2 linked regions of the Nothobranchius furzeri genome follow. The protein of the gene in region 2 purifies or fractionates together with the protein of the main gene of each other region. This does not show direct contact. Links are inferred from orthologs where the notes say so. Each region holds a gene or a part of one and is shown on either strand. Other genes may lie near its edges.

The links.
Region 1: the proteins of stk40 (region 2) and cop1 purify together in Homo sapiens (affinity purification with mass spectrometry; 3 studies listed by BioGRID and IntAct, counting the BioPlex papers as one, with this or other methods). This does not show direct contact. The link is inferred for Nothobranchius furzeri from reciprocal best matches to the Homo sapiens genes STK40 and COP1.

The regions. Positions count from the first base shown.
Region 1 is NC_091751.1:60,912,351-60,916,006, forward strand, and holds part of cop1 (E3 ubiquitin-protein ligase COP1), read left to right. Parts: intron 1-1,229; coding exon 1,230-1,298; intron 1,299-1,390; coding exon 1,391-1,450; intron 1,451-3,656. UniProt on the Homo sapiens protein: E3 ubiquitin-protein ligase that mediates ubiquitination and subsequent proteasomal degradation of target proteins.
Region 2 is NC_091745.1:71,006,382-71,010,137, reverse strand, and holds the start of stk40 (serine/threonine-protein kinase 40), read left to right. Parts: upstream 1-1,137; 5' UTR 1,138-1,214; coding exon 1,215-1,343; intron 1,344-3,437; exon of another isoform or gene 3,438-3,652; intron 3,653-3,756. UniProt on the Homo sapiens protein: May be a negative regulator of NF-kappa-B and p53-mediated gene transcription.

The DNA.
Region 1 (3,656 bases), on a different chromosome or scaffold from region 2:
GTTGGCCTGTTTGCTAACAGCTGCAGCTGGTGTCTGAATCCCATGCCTGCCGTGTGTGGTGTTACGGTTTTTGTTTTCGTACAAGAAACAAATAATATTGATGTAGAGAAACCTGTTAACAAATTAAAACTAAGCCCTTGCTGAAAATCTGTATCTCAGGGTGAATCAAAAAGTCATGTTTGTTGTTTTAAAAGGTTAAATCTAATCTTTTTCACACAATTCTGATCACGCAGTCGGATCGGAGCGTCCCTACTTGTTAGTTGTTGTTTTTGTTTTTTTTTTTGCATAATTTCCAGAGATTTGATTGGATTTTTCATTATTTTTTTATGTATTTATTGAGCACCTTTATACCACCAGTCAAGTGCTCCACGCTAAAACCAGCAAAATGCATTAGCACAAATTAAGTAAAATAATTACAACAAAAGGAAAAAATTTTACTAAATTATTAAAAGTCAGTAAAAACAAGAAGGGTAAAACGGCACTGAAACAACGGCCTGATTAACCAGAGGAGCTAAAATGCAGAACCAGCTTAGACTTCAAACTCTGTACTGAAGTAGACTGCCTAATGTCGGTGGTTGGTTTCATAGTCTGGGTGCAAACATGGAGAATGCAAACTCCAAAATTAAGTCTCATTCCTTTTTGACAACATATTTCTTACTTTTGCAGCTTGGTTTTATTTCCCGTTGCTTGGATATATGGATCGATATTCCTTCTGTTTGCAGACATTTCTGACCTGACCGAACGTCAACACAAAACCAGTGGCTTATATTTAGATGGTGTCCATTTCTTTTAAAAAGCCGATGAGTGATGGAGCATTCTAGATTTGCTTTTAAAATGTTGAGGTTAAGTCACTTCCCTGCTTACAGTAAGAAGATTGATTTAAAGAAACCTTAGTAGGAATGGATCACCCAAAGAAACGGCTAAATGTCGGCTGAAGTCCAAACTTTGGTTGGTTTCCTTTGGCTCATTCAGAGCAGAATATGACCGCAGTCATTTCTGACACACACAAACTCTCATCTTAAGGATTCTTTGGATATTAAGGTGTCATATGATTTTGAAGAGTAGTTTAAGATTACCGTATGTCAGTATAAATATAGAGTTAGAATTTTTTTGAATTTATTATAAGAAGATTTGTTTGTCCTGAACTCAGTTTCTGACCGTGGTTTTCAGTAAGTTGGTAAATGTTCTATTTCAGTTTGTTTATGCTTGATGTCTTTTATCCACACCAGGAATCCCAAGCAGCTCAGAGGCAAATCTTCATGGATTTTCTGAAGGAAGCCAGGAGAAACAAGAGAGAGGTGCTGCTGTTGCTCTTTTTACTGAGGAGATAAAATCATAAAAATAGGAAAAATATTGAAGCCGTTCTTGTGTTTTTGTTTTTTTATACCAGCAACTAGACCAGCTACAGAAAGAGCTCAACTTCCTTGAAGAAGACATTAAGCGTGTTGAAGTAAGTAAACAGAATTTGAACACAAACTGTGGGTCATTTTGAGAATAAAGGAGAGCCACGATTCGTGTCAGGGCCAGGCTCATTCATCAACCATACTTACTTAGACAGTAGCCACGTTTACATGCGCCAAATTTCCCCAATCCGATTCATATCTTGCTTGATCGGAAATCCCGAATCTCTGTTTACATGCACACTAACTGAAATTATCCGATCATGCCGTGAGTTTATATGCACCAAGTATTCAATCAGATTAAATAAGTTGAGCATGCGCACAGTTGTCTTTCCCGGAAAAAAATTGTAAACAAACGTCATGAAACAAAATGAAAAATGTAAAAACATAAATAACAATTCTTCCTGCTTTTCTGAATCAATTTAATGTTTTTATTTTGTTCTTAGAAGTTACGTTTTCAGTGAGTAACTGCAGATTTATGCTTTGCTGCATTTTATTGTTGACAATATTAAAATAAGGGAGCGTTATCCTTGTTTCTGCCTCTTGATCAGCTGATCCATGGGTGTGACGCGGTGTGGGGGGGGGGGGGTCAGACTCATGTTTTATTACTGAGCTCTCTTGTGGCTTATTATTAATTAAATGTGACAGTCAGCTGAAACTGTTGGGAAAATTTGGTTCAAACTAAATAACAGGAGATGTTCAGAAAGTTTGGAAGCCTGTGTTCATCATGTGTTCATAAACCAACTGCATCTCATCTGCGTTAAAGGGACATTATGGAAGTTTGACAGCCAAAACATGTATAGAAATAATAAATTTCTTCTTCATACGTTCTCCTGCAATGCCCTGGTCCTGTAGAACGAGCCCTGGCATTTTTACTGTGATTGCCTGTTTTTCTGTAAAATCACAGAAAAAGAGAGATGCTCGGGTCGAGCAGGCTGCTTCATGCGCGTTCACGCTCAGGCATCGCCCGTAGCATTTGCTATCAGTAGCTTTAGCAGCAGAGAGAGAGGTAGTGCCAACTCAGCCACTTTGTCGCTGTTTCTAACGCCTCGTGATGAACCTAGCTACATTTCTGAGGACCCTTAGCTACTTTCTGTGGAACTTTCTTCTAGATATTTCCTGCAAATTAGCATCAAAATAGCCATTTTCGCTCCGAACCGTTCTTTGAACGTTGTTTCAGCTGTCATCAAGGATATAAATGTCACAGATACAAATGACGTCACTGGCGCATTAGCTCACCTAGTTAGACGTTGGGCTCTCGTGCAGAAGACCTGGGTTCCATTCCTGATGTGAACATAGTTTATTAAGAGTTTCTTTTTTACATGAATGGTACATTTTTTTACAGTAAGATGCCCACATTTTTATTTGAGATTCGCTGAACGGCATTGAATTCACAGATAAAAAAGATGTGGGTTCAACTTTCATTTTGGAACAATTTTTCAAGCAAGGGAAGGGAATGATCTGAGCATGCAGGAGGACTGACCCATCTTAAACCTTTGTCGTCTGTGCTGAAGAGAAAGGTACAGAACCAAATTATTTAATTAATTAGCTGCGCGTTCTCCTGTCCTCTGTCCTCCGGGCCACACACACACACACACACAAGGGACTCAGCTGTTATTTTCGTTGAGGAGTGTGCACGTACAGCATGTCCGCCTCATGCATGAGCCTACTATTGAAGCTGCCGTTATGCTTTTGGTCAGAGGGGGTAATCGCAAGCATAAAAATTCAGAACTCCATAAAGTCCCTTTAACGTGCTTTTACACAGATAGTCAGCCAGAATATCTAACTGAGGATGTTTTTCTACTCAACATCAGCCTCCTTAAACTCAAACCAGGTCTGTTTAACCGATGTTACCCTGTCTTCATTACGAGCACGTCTCCATCCACCTGCTGCAGAAACGGCTGCTGCGTTCACAGAAACGGATCCGTGCTGCAAATCCCGCAATGAATCTACGTGTTTCCAGCACAGACTTAAACATGGTTGTCAAATGATTTGTGCCATAATCAGATTTTTATTTTACTTCCACAAAATGCAAGTTCTGGATTGCCATCATATTTAAAAGCCGGCATTCGTTAATTAGGCCACCATTTTTTAGGTCAGGCAATCTAAATGATGGCGGGGTGGCTCTCTAGTTGTTTTCTCACATGCACAGTGGGCATTATTTTACTCCAACAATCCGAATGGCTGTGTACGTGCATGTCAATCAGAATGATGATCGGACAAAACCACCCCTCTCAATCGGATTGGAATTTCATT
Region 2 (3,756 bases):
TAAATAAATAAAAATCCCTTAGTGATTCAAAGAGCTTACAGATCACATGGCTAGATCAGTTTCGTGCAGCACTTAAAGTTTATTTGACTCATTTTACTTTACATCTTTTAGCTTTCACCGGCACATCAATATCAGGAGTCACATTTTGAGTGGCGGACAACTTCAGGATGTGATTCTAGTTCTTGTGTGAGCCTTGAGCACAGCTTTGTTTTATTTATACTCATTACAGAGAAAACTTGCTCACAAAGATACGTTTATTATCACTCTACATTGTAAAGTATGAAAATAAAGTTTACACAATCATCTCGCGGGCCGGATTTAACCCGCTTGCGGGCCGGATTTAACCCGCTTGCGGGCCGGATCCGGCCCGCGGGCCGCATATTTGACACCCCTGATCTAGAGTCTTCTGGTGCTGATCTGTAACTGGCAACCGTCATGAAACTCTTGAACCGGAGGGGCATGTTTAATACATGGACTACATTACCCAAATGTGACAACAGGATGTAATTTTTACTTCATGCATCTTTAATATTCATGTCCTGACCTAGTGGGTGGGGCAAACCAGTCTTTTCATTAAAGATCTAATTTATCGGTTTTTGTTTGACTTTTATCAGGGCTCCTGTGTCATTGTGAGCCTCAACAGAGCTCCTTGTGCTTTGTAGAGGCTCAAAGACCATTTTCCCAATTATAAATTAACTGTATTCCCCTGAAACTTAATGTTATGCTGTATTAATTTCATTCTAACAGAAGAGGGAGCTGTTGATTTTTTTTTAGGATCATGCCATTTCATAACATGTCTCAACTTTTAGCTCTAATAATGATTTTATTTAAGTTACAACAATTGAGGCTGACTATCTAACCTAGAGTTTATTGCATTGCCAAATTATTGCAGGGCAAAAAATTCAAATAAAAAAACAGAGAGGGGCATTTGTGTGCTTCTTATTTGAATGTTTACCAGCAAAATAAACTCATTAAAAGCAGGTTATCTTTGCTTAGACAGCAAACCTACGATGAAGATCGCCATAGCAACTTAAATCACTTAACAGCCTTTAGTGTTTGCCTGCAGACGAGTCAAAGTGCATCTGCACTCCCCCAGTCACTCACACCGAGTGCATTCCACAGCAGCAAACATGCTGAGACAATTCTCTGAATTGATCCGGGGGAGGAGGATTCTGGCGAGGTTGTCCCAATAATCTCCTAAAAAGAGACACAAGATGCACCAAGGACCTGAGGATACAGCCTACCGACACAGCAAACAGAGACCAAAGCCCTGTCATCCTGCTGGACTTATACAACTCAGTATTACTTACTCGAAAACATTTCAGCTTTTCAAAGGCACAAGAGTAAGTTTGATACTGTTCAGGACACAAACCGCACAAATAATTCTCACACAGGGTTAAAAAAAAAACTTTTTCAGTCAAAAAGTTCTTCACGTGGGAAAAATATTCAGTCTTCCTCTGAATCTATTTCTCTCACAGAACTCAAATTCTAGTTATGATTCAGCTTCCTCTTTGAAGCGTGCGGGCAGGACACTGTAAAGCCGCAGCCTGACTTGTGTTTCATGCGGCTGAGGGAGATTACGCTCTGCTGAGTCAAGACAGGAAGACGAGTGAAACTCTAAATAAGTCTGCCATTTAGGTTGGCCTCTCAGGGTCTGTCACGTCCACCCACTAATTGGAAACTGGCAGCGGTGGGCGGAATTTGAGATTAATCAGTCATTCTACTTTAGGAGTTCAGGTGGGCTAATCAAAATGTCATGCAGTCTCAAATAGGACTGCAGAGTGTTGTGAAACAGCATGACTTTTCTTTCTGCTAAGACCTTTGTGTTCAAGGAAATGGCAGTTAATTGTCATTTCATCATGCATGAAGCAATCTTTAAACAGGTAGTATTGTGAAAATATGGATAGAAGGGATAAATAAGAGCTAGGTTTGGAGATGTAGTTTTAGTGATTCCTAAATGAGGAGCAATGCTGTATATCTCAAATAGAATATCACTTGTGCGTTGCAACGTTCAAGTATTAATTTCTGGATTTTTAGGCTTATTTCGGTATTTAAAGTGGCTGTGTGTAGTTTTTAGCGTTAATTTCTGGAAATTTACATCCGAATGTTGTTGAAAAGGAATAAAATGATGTCCTGTTGTTGAAAAATATTGGCGGCTTAATAACATAACCATAAAAATTGGGTCTAGAGTGCATAGGGTGCAGATCTAGCATCTTAGATGCCATGTTTCCTTCTGGCTGGCTCAGGGTCCTGCCCCCGAAAATTACGTCATGCTAGATGATTGGCTGGATTTTCGTCTTTACTATGTTATCACATTTGAAAAAAATGTAGGCTGTAGGAAACATGAGTTTAATAACAAAACTGCTAAACTCTTTCCAAAACCTATGGGAAAGAACAACATCGAAAAAGAGATGCAATATATTTTGGCCAGTAGTAGTAGGCGGGTGCAGGACCCCGAGCAGATCCAGAAACTACAGCGCCAGAAAACTACAATTGGCATTGCATTCTCTCGATGGAATTTACTGAATCAAAGTCTGAAGAGTCCCGCCAAGGGTTGCAAGGGATGCTTTCTGCTCTACGGGTATACAGCATTTACTGTAGCGTTTTGTTTAAACTAGCGACAGTCATGGCGATATGGTGTAAAACTACCCTGGAATGTATGTACTGCCCCCTAGCGCCAGGAAACTGCATGCCACTTCAAACAGGAAGATGTGCTAAACTTGCCAAATTTTTCATCACTTTAATAATATTTTTGTGAGTTTTTTTGTCACAGATTCCTTATATTATGGAAACCCATTCCCGCCAATCTAATTGAAAAAAAAATCTCATAATTATGACTTAGCTATCTGATAATAATTAGAAAGTGTCTCCTGATAATGAGATGGTGTTGCAGTATAATGAGATATCTGTCATAATTATGAAATACAAATATGTATATTTTTTTATCAGGGTGGCGGTTATGGGCTTCCATACATAATTAGCCCTGAGTGTGGAAATGAAATAAATGACACAGACACTGTAACAAAGTTCATAATGTACTACTTTTCAAGTATTATAAATGTTTGTTTATGTGTCTTGTTTTAAAATGTCCTCATTGAATTTAATTTACCACTAACTTCTTTTAATTTGCAAACATTAGTATTTGCTGTCATTATTACGGACTTGTTTACATTTTAACCCTGGATTTGGGGCCCTTTTATATTAATTTCTTCTCTACCTCCATCACGCAGCTTGCATCATATAAAAAAATAACAATTTTAAGGCATTAAAACTTTACAAGCGAAGCTACCATGATGTCATGGTTTCATTTATCAACTTTTATTATGCAAAGAATTTCATCATCATCCGGGCGGAGCTGTTGGACCGACGAAGAAAGAGAGGCTCCTATTGGACGAGCCTAGCTGTCAATCAAGAAAGGGATTGTGCGTCATTTCCGTTGTCAGGTGGTGCTGTCGCTGTGGAAAGATGCGATCAGCGGAGGCTTTTCCTTAATTGCTCATTTCAGTAACAGAAGCTAAACAAACCAAAAGCAAACCTCTGTGGTCTATCCTGATTAAGCTAATCGCTCCGTACGCCCACCGCCGCGTCCATGCACGAAATGTCTATAATCTGAGGCGACGACGGAGATCGTACCCGGCGGTTTTGGCTCGAGGTAAGCGAGGCTTTTCTCTTGACACAGCGCTAGCCAGCTGTAACGTTCCCCACTTTGTTTAAATGGCCTTCCGGCTGCCTTCCAGCTTCGCGTTAGCTCAAGTC